Linked DNA regions of Caenorhabditis elegans. The protein of the gene in region 3 interacts with the protein of the main gene of each other region in a pairwise test. Each region holds a gene or a part of one and is shown on either strand. Other genes may lie near its edges.

Region 1 (6,264 bases), 9.2 Mb from region 3:
AATGGAGCGCGCTTGCCCACTGCCACTTTTTTATGGATTTTCCCCAGTTGTCATGAGAATTTTCATATTTTCGGGGTATTTGATAAACAAAATACGTATTTTCTGAAAATAAAAGCTAATTATAAACTCTCGAGAGACCCCGAGTGTAAGGTGCAATTATCGGGATGGAAAATTGAGGGATTTCCTCTCTTCCCAGTGCGAACAGCAAGAAAATTATTATTTTCCGCAAGAAATAGAATTTCGTATTAAATATTTACAACTGAATGCTCTTTTCATGGTTTATTGAGCTTTTTAATTGGATTTCTGGAGAAAATTGGTTGCCAAATATTTAGCAGACCCAACTTTGGTCTGCTAAATAATTTTTCTTGGGTCTGCTAAATATTTAGCAGACCCAATTTGGCTTGCCACGTGGCAAATATCGATTTTTTTCTATTACAATTTTTGTAAAAGAAAGTAGATAAACGCTGAAAAAAACACGCTAAAAAAAGGAATTTTCAAATCGGAAACTCAGGAATAAACTTCAATTTTTATTCTAATTAATCGTCAATATTCAAATTCGACGAAAATTTTCAGATTACCAAATATTTGGAAATTTGGAGAGGATTTTGTGTGGGAGAGGGATGGGGATAGAGTATAAGAATTTCGAGACGCAGGGTGAATATTTTCTTTAAAACAAGAAATGGGGGAAAAAAAGGATAATGTAAAAATAACATGGATTTTCAGGTAGTTCTAGATGGGGGTGGGTTTAAGGCAGATTTCACGGTAGCGCAGGGTTTGTTCGGATATTTGAGAGGAGGTTCTTGAGAATGAGAATATCTGGAAATTATTGGTAATGGGGGTTTCAGAAAAATGAAACAAAAAATTGGGTCACAGTGAAAATTAGAAATGGAAAGTTGAATAAAACGTTAAAAAATTAACAATTAAGAGGAAGAAAACTTATTTTTTGGGGCTTTTTTTGCAAACTTTTTTCAATTTTTAGTGGTTTTTTTTGTTGAATTTTTTGATTAAAAAAAGATAAAAAACTACGCGATTTTCAGTAAATAATACAGATGCAATTTTCAGAGGAAAGAAAAACAATGGACAAAGAAGAAGAAAAAAGAACAGAAAGAGAAGATTTGAAAAAAAAAGAACAGGAATTATTATATTATTAGGTTCTATAAGGATTGTTCAATATTTGTTGAGACTGTCCCTGCTGCTGCTGCTGGCCTTGTTGCTGTTGTCCCTGATTTTGGATAATCATGCCAGAAGTGTAGATGTTCTGAGGAATCGATTGGGACGACTGCTGAAAATCCTAAAGTTTGATTAGTTGGATGATTCTAGAATTGGGGAGATTTGAGTAAAAATCAATTTTTTTTTTGAAATTTGGGTCTGCTAAATATTTAGCATACCAACTTTGGGTCTGCTAAATATTTAGCAGACCAACTTTGGGTCTGCTAAATATTTAGCATACCCACTTTGGGTCTGCTAAATATTTAGCATACCCACTTTGGGTCTGCTAAATATTTAGCATACCCACTTTGGGTCTGCTAAATATTTAGCATACCAACTTCGGGCCTGCTAAATATTTAGCATACCAACTTTGGGTCTGCTAAATAGTTAGCATACCCAACCTCGAGTTTTATAGCAAAATTCCGCTCAAAAACTCATTTTTTCCTAGTTTTCATCGATATTCACCTGGTGTGACACCTGAATCTGCTGCTGTTGCATGTGTCCTTGATGGAGCACCTGGTGCTGTCCAATCCCATTGTTTCCCTGATTTCCAACCAACTGTTGGTGCTGTTGCTGACCATTCGAGATTATATAGGCCTGTGGCGGTGGTGTAACCGAGCGTGGCGTTCCCGACGACTGATTCGCGCGTTGTCGGAGAAGGATCTGCTGAGCGTGCTGTGTGCGCTTGACGACGTCACGTTCCAACGAGGAGAGAGCGTCCATATCGTCCTTTTTGGCGGGGGTGCCGGTGCCCATTGTGATGGTTCCAGAGGATCCGACGGCCATCTGTCCGGCGCTGATCATGTCGTCCATCTCGTTGCGACGACGCTTTGGAGTGTAGCGTTTTTGATTGTACGACTGAAAAATTAAAAATTAAAATGTTTTTTTTTTTTTTGAAATTTTGTTTTTCGAAAACACACATGCGCAAAGCCTACACACAACAAGCATTCTCATTCTCAATTTCAGTATCCAAAATTCAAAAAAAAGAAGAAGAAAAATAAAAGAAAAAAGGTTTCACTAACGTCTCCGAGATCGAGATCATGGTCGATTTGCGTGTCAGATTGCTCATGAGAGGGCCAAGACTCTTCTTTCGGTTCTTGTTTCGCGACCTACAACAAAATTTAGGAGTCTGAGATCTCGGAGAGTTGGGGAAGAAACCCGGGGTTTTTTTTTGGATTCGCTAGCGCAAATTTTCAAATTTTTCGTGCTCAAAAATAACTAAAAGTCATCGCAAGACCCTCTCTGTCTCTCGTTGGTGATTGATTAGTTGTAGCAAAAATATATTCACCTTTCTCTGATCAGGCGTCATTCGCTGGTAGCGAAGACGTGCCGCTTCGGCTCGTTTCGCGTTTCGGACCACAATCTGCTGAGCACGATCCAGTGCTTCTCCGTTGATACGGCCTATAGGCATGGCGAGCAGCATCTCTTCTTCCATACGACGGCGGCGGAACGCTTCTGTCCTTCGTTGATTGTAGACGCGCTTCTCGTCATCGTTCATTCGATGGTATCTGGAAATTTGGAGGTTTTTTGATCGAAAATGTGTGGAAACTCAGGTGAATTTCGCAATTGTTGGGTCTGCTAAATATTTAGCAGACCAAAGATGGGTATGCTAAATATTTAGCAGACCCAAATAAATATTTAGCAGACCAAAGTTGGGTATGCTAAATATTTAGCAGACCCATTCTGAATATTTAGCAGACCCAAGTTTGGTATGGTAAATATTTAGCAGACCCAAGCTATTCTGATTCCCCCGAATCTCTTCCTTACCGTTGACGAGCCGCCTCCGCTTTTTTCGCATTCTGCGTCTTGATGTGCAACCGGACAGCCTCGTCGTCCTTCTGTGGATCTCCTGTAGCCATTCCACATGCCTGAAACTCCGATTTCTGGAATGTTACGTCACGGTAGCAGCGGAAAAATTACAAATTTTGTGTGTTAGGGAGGAGAGATTTTACCAAAAATAGATTTTCACCCAATTAAATTTTCCTCTTCTCCGCTAATTTTCCAGATTTTCTGCTAGAATTCAATGTTCTATATTCACCTTAATCGCGCTCATCGCGTTCTGCATCTGCCGCATACGTCTCCGCGTATTGTGCGCCCGGCGCTCTTCCGGCGTCATTCTAGCGTAACGTGTACGGGCGGCCTCTGCCCACTTGGCCCGCATTCTCTTCTCTCTGAGCTGTTCGGTGATGTCCGGATCCTCTTGAATGTCATTTGTCTCCCGCAAAATCGATTCGAGCTCCTCCATCTCCTTCTCACGTTGCCGTTTTCGCTTCTGCGCCAACGTTCTTTTCAGGTTTAACTCTCGTTTCTCTTCGTTTGATAGTCGGTGATAACGCATTCGGGCGGCTTCTGCCTGTCGCGCCTTCTTTACTCGATCCTTCTCGCCTTTGTCGGGTGACGAGGAGAGTTTAACATTCATTCCTTCTACTTGTAGGTCCTGAAATGTTTCTGAGGTGTGCTCGGTGAGTTCGCTGCGTGATTTCATTCAATTCGTGTTTTCAGTGTGTTGAAACTTAAAATTCGCATTAAAACTCGAGAAATGGACAAATTCTGCTCGATTTCGCATCTTGGGTCTGCTAAATATTTAGCATACCCAACTTGGGCCTGCTAAATATTTAGCATACCCACCTTTGGTCTGCTAATTATTTAGCAGACCATAGTTGCAAAACTAAGCAAGTTCCAGTAACTTATCGACTTTTTGAGCAAATTTTTTGAAAAATCCGCTCAAATGCGAAAATCCACGCGGATTTCGAGCTGCAAAATTCAAAATTCCTTGAAAAAATCACTGAATAACACGAAATTCTCCCCAAAAAAAAACAAAGAAAAAACAACGAATTTACCACATCTCCTACTTTCAACTGAGGTATTTGTTGATTGTATGATCCAACTGATTGTTGTATTGAAGACATCTATAAAATAAATCACGATTCACAAACACAACCACAATTACGATAGAATTTACGGTAAAAAATGAGGAAAATCGAGATTTTTCGAGATTTCCGCCATTTTTTTAAGCCAAATCGCACGATTTTTACGATTTTTACCTGAACTGGCTGCTGATTATTCCACGACGTTGATGTTGAAGGTGTCGTACTGTCGATAAAATAAGCGTCAAGCATATTAACTAAACTCTTCTCTTCTCCCATCCGCCGCTGAGGTGTTTGCTGAAATTAAATAAAATTGAACATTTTCACTCGATTTCCTGAAAATCCCCTACCGTCACTGAATTAGGTATAAAAGTTGCGGAATTAGAGGAATGAAAATTGTTCGCATTTGAATTTGAATACGTCGTCGGCTGATAGGAGTTCTGTTGAAATTGCGATATTCCGTGTAGCTGCTGATTTTGATTACCGCCCGAGCGGGGATCCGAACTGTATGTGTATTGTATATTCTGCTGCATTTTTTATTATTTTTTGTGTTTCCGAGCCTGAAAAAATTGGAATTTTAGGTTTTTAAGCTAGTTTCCGATGAGAATTGCGATTTAATAAGGATATAATTGTGCTGGAAACAATTTTAATCACTTGAAAAATTAATTTTTTGAAGAAAAACCAAGGAAAACCAGGAAAACCAAAGAAAAATAAGAAATTAAATGGAGAAAGTGAGAAAAATAGAGAAGCAGATAAGTTTCGAATTCAAATTTGCCGGAGTGTCACTGGAGCGCACTTGCCTCCTTCTCAATTTTTCGAATTTCATAAGACTAGAATAATGAAAACACTGCTTAAAATGACTGGAACAAAAGAAGAATACATGAATTTTGATTGAAAAATTGAAAAATAAAATTGAAAACAACGTATCTCACTGCAAAAGCTTAAAAAATTCTTATTATAGTCCCAGCATGTACTAATTTCGACGGAATTGCGCCAAATTTTCACTGATCCACGTGGAATTTTCTGAATTTTACTGAAAATGCAAAAATCTTAGTTTCTTTTCGTGTTGGAGCTGTGTGCACAGGTGCCCAGGTGCACTGCTTGAACATGGTGGCCGTGAAAGAGAAAACTCGGTCAGTCCCTCTAAATCCTGCGGAAAAGGTCCTGCTGATCCACTTTTAAGCTAGTTTCAGCAAATCCAGAGGTATTTTGGGTTCCAGAGGCAGAGTTAGCATTCTAGAAGAGCAATGAATTTTGGTGGCCGACCTTTTATATCCGCGGTCCCCACGAAAAAGTCTCAGAGTGTCTCATTTCGGTTTGATCTGCGTAGATCTACAAAAAATGCCGGAGTTGAGGCGCAGAGTTCTCAACTGATTTTGCATGGTTAAGAACTTGCTGACGTCACATTTTTATGGGCCAAAAATTTCCGCATTTTTTTGTAGATCAAACCATAGTAGGACAGCCTGACACCACGAGGGCCCCGTATCCAAGTACCTGAGCCTAAAGCCTAATGTAATGGTTCTAATACCGTCTTCCAATTCCTATCGCTGTGGGTTCTCTGAAAATCCCTCCGAATTTTCCCATTTCACGGCCAAGGCATCAAATCCAACCTGTACCTCTCCGTTTCAAGTCGATTTTTAGAATTCAAATTTGTCCTCTTCGCGCCTAAACCGCCCATGCTCTTCCCATCATCACTGTTAACCACACTATTTTGTTGCCTGCCTGCCTTCTGTCTCTGCGCTCCCAAAATCAGCGGAAAAGAGTGTGTGATGGCGGATGGATGCGGTTGGGGATGGTAAGAAGAAGAAGAAGTGTAGGGAGATGAAGGGAACAAGACGGGGGGCAAAAAGTAGTAGTAGTAGAAGAGGAAGAAGACTAAGAGAAAACGAAACATATACACAAAAGAAGAGGACGATTTGGGGCGCATAGGACGAGAGGGAGGAGAGATTGGAGACGGGCGGGGCATTGTGTACGAGGGGAGGCCGACCGCGACGCGGAGACGCGTTGCACACTCGCATACACAATGCGCGCTGCGGAGAGTCCAAACATCACTAGACACTGTGCCGAGTGGCGGAGATCACGAGACACCCGGCACGAGAGAGCGCGCCCGTCGTGGAGTGTGTGTGCTTAGAGGCCGTGACGACAGCGTATCGATTGTGGAGAGTGCGTGGAGGAGTGCCGAATGAAT
Region 2 (6,041 bases), on a different chromosome or scaffold from region 3:
TATCTGTCGACAATACAAGTAATTGAGCTTCCTTCTCTTATCCCATTCGACCCCACCCCCATCATTCCGTCCTATGAGACATTTTCTTGTCTTAGTCTTTAGACGACAACTGGCAACTATTCCCTAGTTTTTTTTTCCAATTTTAGATCTCCTTGAAACATCTTTTTTTATTTTTTCCAGGTACCTTGTCAAAAACCATTAGCAAACTGCAGCTCAAAACCATGGAAGACGAAGTAAGTCTTAGAAATGGTACTGTATTTTTCAAATTTTTTTCAGCTCGACTCGGATCTCTACGATCGTGTGAGCTATTTGAATTTGATGGACAAAATCGATACTCGGAAGAAGACATCGAAAGTGGGAAAGTTCCGCGATGAGTAAGTCCAGTTTTTGTCATGTTTTCCAGAAACATGCACATAAGTGACTTCCGGGAGAAGAAGTCTTTTTTGTTTGCTTAATAGTGTGCCAAGCAGTTGTCATATTCGGTTTTCATGGAAGTTTCGGTTTTCACGTTTTTTAATGATGTTGTGCTGTTTTTATATTCATTGGTTGATAGTTTCTGATTTTGAAATTTTGTTTGAAAATTTCCAAAATGTGAATCTGTAACTGTGAGGAAGTATAATTTTAATTTGTATTCCCCCAGAATATACTTTTTCAAAAAATACTGTTGCCTCAGAAAATAGCCAAACCTAACAAAAGTAAACCGGTTCACTTCGTTCCAAAAAAAATTTATTTTTCGTAATATCTAAAGATATATAAGACGAGAAGAGGAGAAAAACAATGAAAGCACTTGGGGCACCTCGATTTAGTGAGCCACCAAAAATCCAGGAAGCCTTTAACGCTGCCCCAACATAAAAGCGAGTCTGAACGAGGAGGTTGAGGAGGAGAAGCAGCACACAAAAAAGTCGAAGATAGCTTTCTATTTAAGAGCATTTTTGCTCCACCAAACCTTCACTCAACCATAGGATTATTGCTCGAAAAAGTGAGGTGTACGGCGTCGGTGCCCCCGCCAACCTTTTTTCTCTCTCGCCCCGTTGCTCCGAACCACCCCGATTAACCCGAGGTCAATTTCACTTGCACTTGAATTGATTCGATCCGAACTCTGATTCAAGTTGCAACTTACTTGTCTATTTCATTTGCTGGTTTTTTCAAATCTATTACTGTACAATGCATCGCTCAAAGTCCCGACCGGTATCTAGGATGTCAAAAAAATCGTATTTATATTCAAGCTCAGACGAAGATAATGGGTATCCAGTCGGTATGTCTTTAAGCATTCTATTTGCGTTTCCCTTGTGCTAATATGCTTTTAAAAAATTTGGAAACGGATGCAGTTTTTTTGTTGGAAAACACCTGAAATTTTCCCGAATTACTAGTTCCGCCACCATGTTTTTATTTTTACACCGCGCAGACTTGTCGAATCTAACAACTTTTGCCAAAACGTCTCTAGCCAGCAATTGTGAGGGCTCCTGCCAAATAAGCTGTGTAATTGTCGAATATCATAAAGAATGGGGGCCAAAGGACGAGCACAATAGCATTTTTTAGGGTGGGGGGAACTATTATTGTTTGCGGGGTGCCTCTCCTGCGCATTTTTCTGTTTTGTACCCATCGTGACTGGTTTGTAAACATCAGAACCTTTCACTTCTGGCACTTTTTCCGGCTGCTCAAGTTCCTGGCACCCCATTCATTCAGCTTTTCCCCCACTTCTAATAATATCGCGTCGAATTCTAGAAAATCAGTTCCATCAAGCACCATCCTCGTCCAGTAGTGGATTTTTACCACCATTGAACTCTAAAGCAGTGTCATGGATTGATATGGATGACTATACAATTCTGCCAAGCCCCGACGAAGCTCCATTTGATCACAGCGACGACGAATATTTCACCGGAAGACGACTACGGCAGAGAAAAGCACCCCGGACGGGAAGATCGGTGACAGCGTCTGAATCGATGAATCAGATTGCAGACTTTGATTTCAGGTTTAGAAAGTGTTGAGTGTTGCATCCTGTGCTTATGTTAATCTTATTTAATTTCACATACGCTTTTTTTGAATATTGATGAAATCGTTTTTACCGAGCTCAAGCAAAATTGAATGCAAAATTGAATCTTAATTTTGAAGGCTCTAAAAGAGGGTGTTAACTTATAAGATGGATTTCAAAAAGCAAATTCCATCGTAAAAGTTTTTTGAACATTTTGCAAAAGAGTTGATATTAGGATTATTGCTGTAAGTTGCATATCTCTCGCTTTTTGTTCATTATTTAGATATAATTGCAGTTACCAATCTTAGTTTAGCCATATTTTTAGATCGTTTGAGCCCCCCTCGAAATATTTGAAAAGTATTCAAAAGGTCTTATTACGTAATTTGACACTTGGATTCATTTTCAGTCGAGTATCTTCGATATGAACTTTAATTGAAATATGAACATAATTTTTGACTGAGCTCAATTTAACATAAATAAATTCATTTGGTTCGTTTTCAGTTCTGACGCGCCTTCTCCAAGACTTGACGCTTCAGAAGCCATGAGTGCTCCTCCAGATCCGGATATCAAGGTTCGAATTTTTTTTCACTCCCAAAAAAGCTTTTTCCGTTTTCAGCGCTACTGGGACAGCAGTTTAGACATAACTGATCTGAGTGGCCACGATTTCACTATTTTCAAGCAACTCCAAGGGATGCTTGGAATTGAGAACATTTCATTCGAAACTCTTGCTCGTTTCAACGTTCGTGTCCAAACCGACACCTATGGTCAACCTGCCATTCTTTTTCCACGGTATCGTGGAATGACTTCCCGGCTACGCATTCCAATGGGTTTGAAGTTGATCCGTAAAGTTGGAGACAGAATGGAAAAGGAGAACTATCCACTGCCAGATGAAACTTCGTAAGTAGAAATTCCGATGTCTTCCTTCATAGTTACCCATTTCCAGCGTTCGCCAAAAGTTCAATGGAGTTTTCGGGCTTCATATGGCAACTCTGTCAGATCGAAGTGTAGTCATTACCACAAATGAGCGTGATGCTTTGGCGATCTACGAAGCCACCAAAGCTCTGGTATTTGCTCTACCACATGGAGAAATTTTGGATCCACTCGTGCTTCCGTATCTGGAGGAATTTGACAAGATCTATCTGTGGTTCCCGGTTCAGCATGTCAGTTATGCCAAAGACTGGGGAAGTGCTTTGAACACCCTCAAATGTCTTCTTGTGAAGTGAGTTTATGGTATTCAGTAGGACTATCATGGAAGGCGCGGATTGCGGCGTAAGACAGGTGGCGTTCCGGAGCCTGCTTGGAAGCCCTAGTATATAGAGAACGTTCGGAAAACAAAACCAAAAGAGTAAGTTCAGAAACGAAGAACGCCCAATTGAATTGGTTCGTAATGGTGATCATCGGCTCATTCGGAACTCACTATCTAACTCGGTACTGTTGCCATTTTGTTCTTGTTTTTTTTCAACTTTCATAGTTTAGGTGGTTCGAATGAGAGAGCGTGGTTTCCGTTCAATGACAGATTTAGACATGCGTGAAGGAATCCGTTCAGACCTTCTCAACTCGACAAATCGCGTTGTTGGATTTGGACAAGTAAGACGAAAGGAAAAAAGATAAATTTCGGTCTAAATAATTTGTTTCAGTGGAAACGATTTGCTGTTTTGAATAAGTATCTTGGCGGGCTTCGGCCAGGGGAGATGACAGTTTTAACCGGAGGAACCGGCAACGGAAAAACTACATTTTTATGTGAATACTCATTGGATCTATTTACTCAAGGGGTATTTTAAATTTTAGCATTAGCTGAGTTTTTCTAATATCTCTGGTTTAATTCTAGGTGCGCACGCTGTTCTGCAGTTTCGAGATGCCTGAAAAGAAGATCCTCCATTGGATGCTTGTGCAATACGCTGGGTATGATGATCTAGTGTTTTTTCTATTGTTATTCTATTTTATTTTTCAATGGCTTGCAACTTTTTAACTAACATTTGTTTTTGTCTGCAGTCCTTCACATCTTCGAAGCCTCGCGCGCACTAACTCATATAAAAATGGCATCAAGTAAGAATATTTAGAAGTATTAGGATCTATCTGGAATAGTTTTTGTTTTTTCTAAATTGGTTTTTGAATATAATAAGTGAATCAAAAACTATTTCAATAATTTCCTTATGAAACCAGTAGCCAACTAGACCTGTTATTTATTTTATTTTACCACCTCACAGTTTTGAGTTGTAGAACATCTTCATTTCTCATTCACTGCTCATTTTGGTTACTAGCTAGTGCTTTTCGTGGTGCGCGAGGCAATTGTCGATTATCTTGAAAGTGTGTTTTTGCACGGTAGTTTGTTCAAGGAAACGGAAATGGGTATGTGGATGAGTGTTGGCATGCTTATTCTGATTGTGCCCAGACATCCGTAGCCCATACACAACTCCCAATCAATCTGGTTCAGACTTCCGCTGCATCGAGTAGAGTATAGCAACTCGATAAATTCATGGTTGGATAGATTCGAGAGATCGAGTTCGGCGTTGACAATGCTTGACTCCGAAGAGTTCATGGAGAAGTCCATAAATGAAATAGTCAGAGTAATAATAGTGGAGCAGGGTTTGAATCATAAAATACCATTTTAGGCAATTCGTATTCACGTTGAAAACAGTGGTATCCAACATGTTGTCATCGATAATCTCCAGTTTTTGATTAACCAAGGAATGATGGCAGATGAGAAGTCAAGTGGCCTTGATAGATTCCACCTTCAGGTTATTTCTTTTTACATCAACTTACAGTTTTGGTTCATAAACTAACATTACAAGAAATGGGAACATTTGGTTTAGTAGGAGAAAAACTACAGTGCGCCCAATTGCTGGGACCCCCCTTCCATTTGAGCGGTTTAGGGCATTTTGGAACTTTTTAATAGGAAAATAATATGGGAATCGGATTCAGCATTACAAAAAACCTCTGTGTCAACAATTGTATTCGGATATCCCAAAAATTGGGAGCAAAATGGCAAAAAGTTGAAAAATCGACCGCCCAACTGCTATCAAGAGGGTGTTTTTCTGGACCTCGTAAATATTATGACACTTCTCCAAAAAAACATTAACCAGTTTGTTGAGTATCATTACAAAATTTGTTCATATTTTGAAAATATATGTACATGCAAAAACCCAAAACCCTTAGTCCTCCTCTAAACATATAAATCTTCTTGAACCTTCGTTTTCAGGATCGATTTGTCGGATACATGCGTCAACTTGCTACTCAGAATCAAATTCACATCACTATGGTTGTTCATCCCAGAAAAACTGACGGTGATACTGAAATTGATGTGCAACACTTTGGAGGTTCCGCCAGAGTCACCCAGGAAGCTGATAATGTCATTGCTATTCAGCGGAAGCGTGATGATCGTGACCGTTCCAAGTTCCGAAAATTCTTATACGTAAGCTTCTAGTAGAATGATATGACCATCCAGGATTCTATTACAGATTCTGAAAAACCGCTACTATGGCCGACGAGTGGAGAGCGATCAACTTGAGATGGTTTTCAACCCATCCACCTATTCTCATACAGTTGTAGAGTTTCCAAAGTAAAATTTTCTTCTTAATCAAATTAATTTTACAATTTCTCCAAGTTTTTCGAGTGTCATTATTCAGTTCTATTTTTTAAATATATTTTTCTGCTTTTTCCTTTCTCCCTATTACGCTGATACTTGATGAAGAAATATACCTTTTCTCCTGACCCATTTCATCCACCTTCTCCCTCCGTAGGTCACATATTATTCTGACGTCTTTCCCTATTTTGTCCGATCTCGAAAACACTACCGCGAAAACACAAAGCTTCTGTAGTTTGCAAATAAATAAATTTTTCATTACTCGACGATGAGAATAAAAAAATGTTGAATGAAAGCGAAATTGGAAATCAAGAATCGAAAACAAAAAATTAATCAAAATTTGTCACATGTTTTTTCGTGGAGGTGCAGGATGAGGCGGAGCAGATGTGGGAAGTATCCGAATTTGTGGCTGTAATTTTTTTTTGTAAAAAATTAAAGGTTTTCTTTTAAATATTAACAACTTGCACTTACAATTGGAACATAATC
Region 3 (4,836 bases):
CTTCCTCTTCTGATTGTTTCGGTGAAGCAGCTTCTCGTTTAGGAGTCGGCTCTTTGGTTGTAATTGGTGAAGTCAACGCATCAGCAGATGATTGTGGAATATCCCTGGGTGATGGTTCGATATCTGATGAGAATTCGTCTTGCCAGTCTGGAAAATTAGTATTTTAAGATTTAAAAGAATGAGGGTTGCAATTTCCATTGAGAAAAGGTGCGGAGCGGGTTTTTTTTCACTTTTCAACAGGAAACATCGTACGGAATACAATTAAAAATGGTTTTTTAATGGGAAATTTAAAATTTCTTTCCAACTGAACTGGTTTATTTAAGCCAAAAAGGTCTAAAAATTGAGCAATAAACCAATGCAGTTGGAAAATAAGTGAATTTACAGAAAAAAATCCGTTGGAAATTTCCTGTTAAAAAAAGTTTTAAAAAAACGCGCGGCGGTTGCGAAAACCCGTGCCGCACCTTTGCAGCATGGAAATCGGAAGAAAACTGGCATACCAATAAAGGTTAGTTGAGGATTCGAGTTCATGTTAGTTAAAAATTATCGGAAATAAATAAATAAACTAAATTTTGCGATATATAGAATTTTTTGTATTTTTACATATTTGTGAAGGGTCGCGTAAAAAACTCACCTTCGTTTGTGATGTGATTTGCAAGATTAACATCCATCGTGGTTGATTGTGTCATATGAGCAGAAATAAGATCAGATACTCCACGAATTGATGATGCATCCACAGAAGCAGCCATGCCCATTCTGTAATTTAAATAATATCTTTTAAAAATTAAAATTTTGATTTTAGGGGACCGAACCAAGTTATTAAAGGTGGAAGAAGTGTTTGCCTAACAAAATTCTTTTTGGAAAATGATAAAATTGGGAATTTTGCTTTAAATTGTATATCGTAATGAGCGAATTTATACAATTTTTTTAAACAATAAATATAATTGAAGCATTTTCAAAGATCTATATCGTTTGCGGGAATTTAACAACAAATATCGCATTTTTTGCAAAATTGGAGAAAACATAAAAATTTAGAAAATTTTTTTAAACAGTAATTATGATCTCTTTTCTGACATTTAGAGCAGTGATAAAAAATTTGGAAAATCAAGAAAATAAAATAAATTCAAAAAAATTGGTGATTTTTATTTCTTCATGCGCTTCAAAATTTGGAGTGAAGTGGAGGATAACCAAATCGAAAAAAAATCAAAAATTTGAAAAATAAAAAAACCTTCCCGAAAAATAACAAAAATTCCAGACACAAAACTCACAATGACAAATTACTTTGATCACCACTCTTATGTAAGCGATGTGATATTGGAAACCAACTACAAACAACGACACAACAGTCAAATATTAATCACTTTTTTAAATTTAATTAAATTAAACTTACTTGTTTCGAAGTTGCATATTTGGCAATGGCATATTCTGCATTAATTCGAATTTTTCACTTCCCATTAGATATTTTGTACGTTCCATGTGATCTACATGGGTTCGTAATAGAGTATTATATCGTTCGTGGAGACGATCGAATTCGAGCTTTTGTTCCACTTCACGTTCTTCCAGACGACTGGCTGAAAAATAATACTTTTTTTAAAAATTTATCCAAGAAAAACACAAGAGTTAATAATTGAGGTGACAATTAACTAACTGTAACAAACTAACCGTGATCAGTGGCATTTTTGGCTTTCAACTCGAGCATCCTCATTATTGATTCAAGTGACTCTATCTTTTTGTCCAACTCTTTATTCTGACCAATCAACGTGTCTTCTATTTCAATATATTTCTGTTCTGTCTGCTTTCGAAGTGCTTTTTCACGTTCATATTGTGTCTGAAGCTGTTCATTGTCCTCTTTGAGCATTTCAAGTTCTGCAGTCTGCTCGTCACGTTCCAAATAGGCAAGATCCAATGCTTCGAGCACATTTACAACCAATGGCATCAGAGTCTGAAAATGTTTAGTTTATTGAATGATAATAGAGAAAGAGAGAAGAAAATTAGCATAAATTTACCTGCTGACTGGTTTAACATACTGAATTTAGTATTGAAGTAGAGTAAAAACATAGAATTTCAATTTCTGATCAAAAAATGGTCTAAAAAGTCCGAATTTCGTAAAAATATCATTTAAAAGTTCTTCAATTAATTATGACGATTCTATGTTTTGAAAAATATTTAACTATGAGCTAAAATCTACAATTTTGCATATTTTTCCGTGCCACAGCGGTCGGAAATTTATTTTCATTCGATTTTCGCTTATTTTGTCGTTTATCTCGTGTTACTTCGTTGAGTTTGGTACATTTGAAGCGATAGGCAACTAAAAATAAGCAAGATCGAAATGATGCTCAATAAAAATTCATTTCCGGCCGTTGCGACACGGAAAAGTTGGCAAAATTGAAGATTTCAGAAGAAAGAAAGCGTTTTTTTTTTCAAAACCATCAGTCTTATTATGAAATCCGGTTGTTTTGGGACATTTTTTGCGAAAACAGCCATTTAAATAAATTTTAAAGTAAAATTCCGAAAAAACTCACTTTCACGCCATCTTCTCCGTGAACTTTTATCATTGTTTCCAACTCTCGATAAATTGCCGAAGCCATTGTCTGCACTTTATCCGACATTGTTCGATGCTCATCTGGTGAGCCGGGGCCGCCGTACACAATCTGAGATAACATTTCTCCCATCAATATCGAATGCAGCATAAAAAAATCCTCCTATTACCCGTCCCAACTGTTTTGTTGTGTCTAGCGACAATCAATAATGAAGAGAGAAGTGCGGAAGAGAAACATAACGGTATTTACTGGCCGAGGAATAGTAGTAGGGGGCGACGATAAGAGAACCGAGATAACTATCGGGAGACGCTGCTGCTGCCACTCGGTTGCAACAATGGTTCATTTGCCACCACTTACCTCAGACGGTGTGCTGCTCGTAATTGAGTCTGCCATCTCATTCACCGGTGACAAATTGCAAGCCATTTTTTCAGTCGTTCTGTCGATTATTGGTCCATGTGAGAGCAAGTTGACGAGACAATTCTACAAATTATGTTGCTTTTGTGCTTTGCAATGAAAAAAGCTATGTAAATAAAGTGCCACTCCTTCGCCGCGGCGACAGAAAATCAATAAAAGAAGGCTGGGCGCATGTGTGAATCTCGTGGATGAGAGAATACGGTAATTGGCGGAAGAGGAGCGTTTTGTGCGTCACGCACTACACGCATGTCGAGTGGGTTTTGCCGTTTTGCGCTTCAGAATTTATTTTTCTATTGAATTCAGAATAAAAACACTTCATTAGAAGTTTTGCATGAATAGAATTTCAATTTGCGCCGCTATTACGAATTTTTATATAAACTCTATCAAAATTATGTGTTTCTTAGGCTATTTTTGCGTCAAAACCACGAATTTAGTGTGACAACATGTGTTAAAACAATGAAAAAACAAATACGAAAGAATCAGTTTATTACGAAATAAATCAACGTTCATCATTATCTTCCTCAGGATATTCCGGGTGGCTCAGGAACGCTAGAAGCACTTGCACCAGAGAAATCATCAGAACAATTCCCACTCCGACCTGAATTGTTGGATTAAAGAGAAAATCATGTCGATTAATATAATTTACATCCAGAAGCACAATGCAGTTTTTAATTGCTGTATGCTCGTGGGGAGCTTTGGCACTGAATGTGTACACGATGAAGAAGATGAGCGAAAGCAACGATGTGACTGGTGCTGGAGCATGATAGATGGCCAACTGAAATTTTTGTAGAATGTAAAATAACTTTCTAAAACTAGGAATTACTTTTCTTTGGCTCATTGCCAACATGCATTTAGATCGACTCAAAAACAACAGAGCGATGAATGTGATGACTGCGAGTACGAGGAAAACGCTACCTGCTGAGAGCTGAAAACGTAGAGTTAGGAACGTCTTTAAGATGAGAATTTACCATCCAAAATGACGCGAGTCCAGATACGTACCCCATTGGAATAGTTCCCTGGAGTAGAACAGTCACACTAATCATCTGAAAACCAAGAAGATTCCCAAATAATCTGCTGAAAACTAGAAACTCACAATATTTGCCACAATGAGTTTGTTCAAAAGCATATTTCTACTTTACAAAGATTTGTAACCGTATAACCCTTTTGCTAGATTTGAATTTAACGAAATGAGTAGGAAATCAAGTTAAAAGTGTTGTCTATTTTATAAATTAAAAGAACGTAGAAAAGGTCTTCACGAAGAAATTTAAAATTTATTCAAAAAAAAAAAATCAGACTTCTTTCTTGGCTTTTTTCTTCGGTTTCGACGAGGATGTTTCAGTTGATCCTCCACATTCTTCTTTGATCGTTTGCATTCCTTCGATACCGTTCAGTTTTTTCATGTCTTCTTTGCCTGAAAATGTGCAAATTTTTATTCTTCAGCATTACTATATTATCCAGATAATTTTGCGATTTTCGTCATGCTAATACGATACCCGGTCTCGATACGGCAAAGTTTTTGATAGATCCAAAGAGGTGTGCGCCTTTAAAGAGTACTGTAATTTCAGATTTTCGTTGTTATGGAATTTGCATCGATTTTTCATAGTTTCAGATAAATAAATAAATATTTAAATATCGAAAAACTAATAAAAGTCTAAAAATTCGAAGTACAGTACACTTTAAAGGCACACACCTTTCAGAATTTAACAATTGTAGCGTCGAGACCGGGAACCGTACTTTCTGGGTAAAAATTGCACAATTTCGCAACAAAAACTAACCTGCAGGTTTACAAACCGCACTTTTTGAATGAAGAACTGTCAGAATCACGAACACGATTGTAGTGATGATTCCGATACCTCCGAAGACAGCCGAAACTATCATTAGCATG
Region 4 (3,755 bases), on a different chromosome or scaffold from region 3:
TAATAAGGGCTCTAACACCAACGGATCACAATTCTTCATTACATTCCGGCCGTGCAAGTATTTGGACAGAAAGCACACAATTTTTGGGAGACTTGTTGGAGGACAGGATACACTAACGACGATTGAAAAGTTGGAAACTGAAGAGGGAACTGATGTTCCGATGGTTTCAGTTGTTATTATGAGAGCTGAAGTATTTGTGGATCCATTTGAAGAAGCTGAGAAAGAAGTTCAAGCTGAGAGAGCAGAGATTTTGAAGAAAAGTTTCTTAATTCTATTACTAATTTTAAAACTAATGATATCTATTTTCAGCTTCTAAGGACGCAGCTTCATTAGCAAATAAAAAAGCTAAAGAAACTGCAACAAAACCAGAAGCAGTTGGAACTGGAGTCGGCAAGTACATGAAGTCGGCCGCAGCTGTGAATAAACGACAAGGAAAAATGGAAGATGTACCCTTGGAGGCCGCAAAGAAAACTAAATTTGCAAGAGCAGGCCTTGGAGATTTCTCAAAGTGGTGATGAAGACCCTCTCTTTTTTTTTAAATTTAAGGAATAAAATACTTTCATCGAAAATATAATTGAAATGAAAAGTAATCTTAAAGAGGATAATTTACATTGCAAAATACAAAACAGTCGAACGAGCACCTAGAACGAAAATGGTCCAGGAAAAGCTCAAGCTCTTCTCGGAAGGAACATCAAGGCATTTTGGTAATAAATTGTGGAAAAGCCATAGCACATACACTTTGGAGCGAGGAGAAATTGTGGGAAAAGAGATTTTAATAATTCTAGAAAAAAAGTTTACACTCGAGAAAAGGCAATGAAAAAAGGTTTTAAAAGAAGAAACAAGCTGGTATTATGGTAGATAAATATACAAAACTCGCAAATAAAGCATTAAAATGAGAGATTTTGAGCTGCAAATGTAGATAGATCACTCAGTTTCCGCGGTTAGCCATGGCGTTGTTCAACTCGCGAACGATCTCATCTTGCTTCTCGAGCTCACTCTGCTTCTCTGTTGAACGGAGATCCGACATCACCTGGAAAATATTTTTTTCGAAAATTGTACTTTTTAAAAATGAAACTTTTTTCATATAATAAATTTGCATTTTGCTTACCTTCTTCGTCTTTCCAAAGTATATCTCATTGATCGTCAGACGCATTTTCGACTCCTGATCCTCAATCATTCGTCCCATATTAGCCAAGTGTGTGTTCTGATCGTTGATTGGTGCATCCATCTCATGCTATAATATTTCTTTTTAAATATATTCACAACTCGAAACCAAAACCTGTCTTGTAAGGGAGCCACCGAGGTTCATCACACCGCTGGAGCTTTTGTTTGTCTGCAGCCACAGCATGATAGTGGAGGTGAGCTTGTAGTGAGCCTGGCGTGCCTGGAAAATTATAAATTAAAAAAAAAAACTCTTCAACAGTTTTTGAACCAACTCTTTCCGTGATCTCAATAACGTGAATAGAATCCCAACATCCTGTTATATTTTTGGCTCCGTCTCCCTCTTTCTTGATGAGCACAATTCCGGCGAAACCTCCATTATCCAAGTCCCAGAAGTAAACTGATGAGACGCCTCCCTCGAAGTATCTGGAAATTATTATTATTTATGAGCAAATATATGATTTTTCTGTCAACTTACAAATCACGGTATGACTCAAAAGCGGCATTTGCCTCGATTTCCATTTTTCTGCGCTTTTCCGATGGCAATTGTCCATCCTCGAGTGGTGGATCATAGGTATTACTCCATGGTGATCTGAATTATCAGAAAAAATCGATAGATTTCAAATAAAATGACTCATACCTGTAGCTATCGCCATCTCGATTGTAGTCACAAAGCAAATACTGTTTGCCGGTCTCACGGTCCGCGGCGATTTTCAGCGGTTGATCGATAGTGCCTAAAACCATCAAGCGAATTTTTTTAAATTAGTTAAAAAGGAAACATACTGAGAAGATCATCAACAAGATGAGGGCACAGATCGATGAGGTCCGTCAAATTCTTGTCGCAGTGTTGTGGAGGAAGTCTTCGCATCAAGTCGAGGGCACAATCGAGCTGTTGTTCTCCCTGGTAAATATTTATTATAAATTGTTTTTAAAATATTTATTAAAATACCATTTTTGATAGTTTCGAGCCGGATGTGGGTGTGCTCCCTGAAACAATAAACTTTTATGTCAGATTTTAAGTCGTTACAACCTATTAAAAACATAAAAAGACTCTAAACGATTGGGTAATGATTTTTTAGTTCACAAATAAGATTAAATTTCGCAAAAATATATTTTAAAAGCCATTAGAAAGCAGGAAAGTTGCGAAACGGAGCGACCACTTCATTGATTTTACACTCCGTTTCTCTCACTCTCTCGTCCCTCCACCGTACCCATAGTCACTCTCGTCGGCAAATCGCGGCGAGACCCGCGAGCTTTTGGCGTTTCGCCAGAGTTCTTCAAATTTTTGTTTTTTTCTTCGAGCTTTTAAATTTAAGTTTTTTCCGTCAATTTTTATGTTAATAAACCGAAAAAATTAATTTTAAATTAATTGACATGAAATTTTCATCGCAAGTTTATCCGTGTTCTGTACATTCTCATCGCTTCATCTCCGAGAAAACACCGAATCCACTAAATTTTGTTATTTCAGTAATTGCAGCCAAAACGAGTCAAAATTGGAGCGCGTCAGAGTAAACGTCACTGCCGCAACCTTCCATCTGAAGTGAGTATTTAAATGTGAAAATTTTGAAAAACTGGGTGAAAATTCGCGCACATTTCTGTAAATTGGCTCCCGATTTGGTTTTCAACGTTAAAAAACGAAAAAAAGCATTTTCAACGTTTAAACGTGCGTTTTAAGGAGGTTTTCATTATAAATTGCCAAAAAATTCCACTTTCCATTGACTTCAAATCATTATAACCTAGCTTCAGCGTGCAAAAAGAACAAAGGCCGTCTCGAAAGTCAGTGAGCATACTATGAAAAGATCGAGTTCAATGTTGGACATCAACGAGGACAGTCAACATTCCACGGTCAGAACTTGTACTTTTCTTTTGATCTTGCCGCTTTGCTAATGGATTTCTTTTTTGAATTTTCGTTGAATTTAATTATTTTATCGCTGCAAAGGGCTTTTACAATTTTCCCTGAAATCGTCACTATAAAAGAAAAGAAATAATTGCAATTTTATTGCATTCTCCGCAACTACATTCTGTTTTTTCCGACTCCAAATAGTTCAAAGTTCTCTAGAATCACAATATCTTCCTCTGAAGACAAAAGATCAGTTGTCACTAAAGCCACATGCCGACTTTTCTGTTCAAGGGGGGTTCCACCATATGTTTCGGCGCTCAAATTACATGTTTTTTCGCGAAAAAAAGCTAATTTTCCTGTAACCTGAAGGGTTTTCTTTTTAAATAAATAAAAATGTTCACGTTAATCCAGTGATATATCGAAACTAGGTGACCTAATTGACGTGGAGTTCAGATTATACCGGCTTTTCTAGAACTTTCTATCTGATTTTCAGGATTACTGCGCCGTTTCTTGATAGTTTTCGTCTAAAAACCGAGTATATTTTAATATTTGTTGGCAGTTTTTGTCTTATTTATCACAATTTTCAGTGAGAATTCCTTGGTTTTTCTCATGGGATAAGCGTTTTTCACTGGAAAATATATTTTCTTGGTAGAAAATTCTCCTCGACGAAATCGTAGTTATATTCTCCCAGCCGAACACTAAAATGCTGGAAAACTAGGAAACTAGGGTCTAGTTGAAAAATTTTGCAATTTTT

What was found.
Region 1: the proteins of unc-16 (region 3) and gei-4 interact in a two-hybrid assay, tested with the Caenorhabditis elegans proteins (one large-scale study listed by BioGRID).
Region 2: the proteins of unc-16 (region 3) and twnk-1 interact in a two-hybrid assay, tested with the Caenorhabditis elegans proteins (one large-scale study listed by BioGRID).
Region 4: the proteins of unc-16 (region 3) and cap-2 interact in a two-hybrid assay, tested with the Caenorhabditis elegans proteins (one large-scale study listed by BioGRID).

What each region holds. Positions count from the first base shown.
Region 1 is NC_003281.10:343,792-350,055, forward strand, and holds gei-4 (BZIP domain-containing protein), read right to left. Parts: upstream 4,637-6,264; 5' UTR 4,610-4,636; coding exon 4,427-4,609; intron 4,374-4,426; coding exon 4,254-4,373; intron 4,119-4,253; coding exon 4,050-4,118; coding exon of another isoform or gene 3,897-4,049; intron 3,647-3,896; coding exon 3,248-3,646; intron 3,093-3,247; coding exon of another isoform or gene 3,078-3,092; coding exon 2,977-3,077; intron 2,718-2,976; coding exon 2,498-2,717; intron 2,319-2,497; coding exon 2,232-2,318; intron 2,068-2,231; coding exon 1,675-2,067; intron 1,292-1,674; coding exon of another isoform or gene 1,283-1,291; coding exon 1,148-1,282; 3' UTR 515-1,147; downstream 1-514.
Region 2 is NC_003284.9:5,791,523-5,797,563, forward strand, and holds twnk-1 (SF4 helicase domain-containing protein), read left to right. Parts: upstream 1-1,808; coding exon 1,809-1,972; intron 1,973-2,075; exon of another isoform or gene 2,076-2,214; intron 2,215-2,283; exon of another isoform or gene 2,284-2,404; intron 2,405-2,473; coding exon 2,474-2,543; intron 2,544-2,588; coding exon 2,589-2,869; intron 2,870-2,915; coding exon 2,916-3,191; intron 3,192-3,327; coding exon 3,328-3,400; intron 3,401-3,448; coding exon 3,449-3,559; intron 3,560-3,609; coding exon 3,610-3,744; intron 3,745-3,800; coding exon 3,801-3,874; coding exon of another isoform or gene 3,875-3,901; intron 3,902-3,964; coding exon 3,965-4,018; intron 4,019-4,032; exon of another isoform or gene 4,033-4,176; intron 4,177-4,406; coding exon 4,407-4,539; intron 4,540-4,584; coding exon 4,585-4,710; intron 4,711-5,171; coding exon 5,172-5,384; intron 5,385-5,430; coding exon 5,431-5,535; downstream 5,536-6,041. Other genes in the region: F46G11.4 (Inner membrane protein), read right to left, coding at 5,899-5,964, 6,027-6,041.
Region 3 is NC_003281.10:9,544,483-9,549,318, reverse strand, and holds the start of unc-16 (JNK-interacting protein), read right to left. Parts: upstream 3,025-4,836; 5' UTR 2,961-3,024; coding exon 2,895-2,960; intron 2,649-2,894; coding exon 2,520-2,648; intron 1,940-2,519; coding exon 1,660-1,939; intron 1,569-1,659; coding exon 1,388-1,568; intron 1,323-1,387; coding exon of another isoform or gene 1,266-1,322; intron 754-1,265; coding exon 632-753; intron 529-631; coding exon of another isoform or gene 498-528; intron 148-497; coding exon 1-147. Other genes in the region: ZK1098.12 (DUF2975 domain-containing protein), read right to left, coding at 3,451-3,549, 3,598-3,726, 3,775-3,876, 3,920-3,994, 4,045-4,077; ZK1098.9 (uncharacterized protein), read right to left, coding at 4,241-4,362, 4,727-4,836. UniProt on the Caenorhabditis elegans protein: The JNK-interacting protein (JIP) group of scaffold proteins selectively mediates JNK signaling by aggregating specific components of the MAPK cascade to form a functional JNK signaling module.
Region 4 is NC_003280.10:10,867,589-10,871,343, reverse strand, and holds cap-2 (F-actin-capping protein subunit beta), read right to left. Parts: upstream 2,149-3,755; 5' UTR 2,114-2,148; coding exon 2,111-2,113; intron 2,063-2,110; coding exon 1,945-2,062; intron 1,896-1,944; coding exon 1,802-1,895; intron 1,754-1,801; coding exon 1,640-1,753; intron 1,588-1,639; coding exon 1,437-1,587; intron 1,385-1,436; coding exon 1,280-1,384; intron 1,235-1,279; coding exon 1,109-1,234; intron 1,031-1,108; coding exon 929-1,030; 3' UTR 517-928; downstream 1-516. Other genes in the region: cyn-4 (Peptidyl-prolyl cis-trans isomerase 4), read left to right, coding at 1-260, 310-515; gmps-1 (putative GMP synthase [glutamine-hydrolyzing]), read left to right, coding at 2,953-3,006. UniProt on the Caenorhabditis elegans protein: F-actin-capping proteins bind in a Ca(2+)-independent manner to the fast growing ends of actin filaments (barbed end) thereby blocking the exchange of subunits at these ends.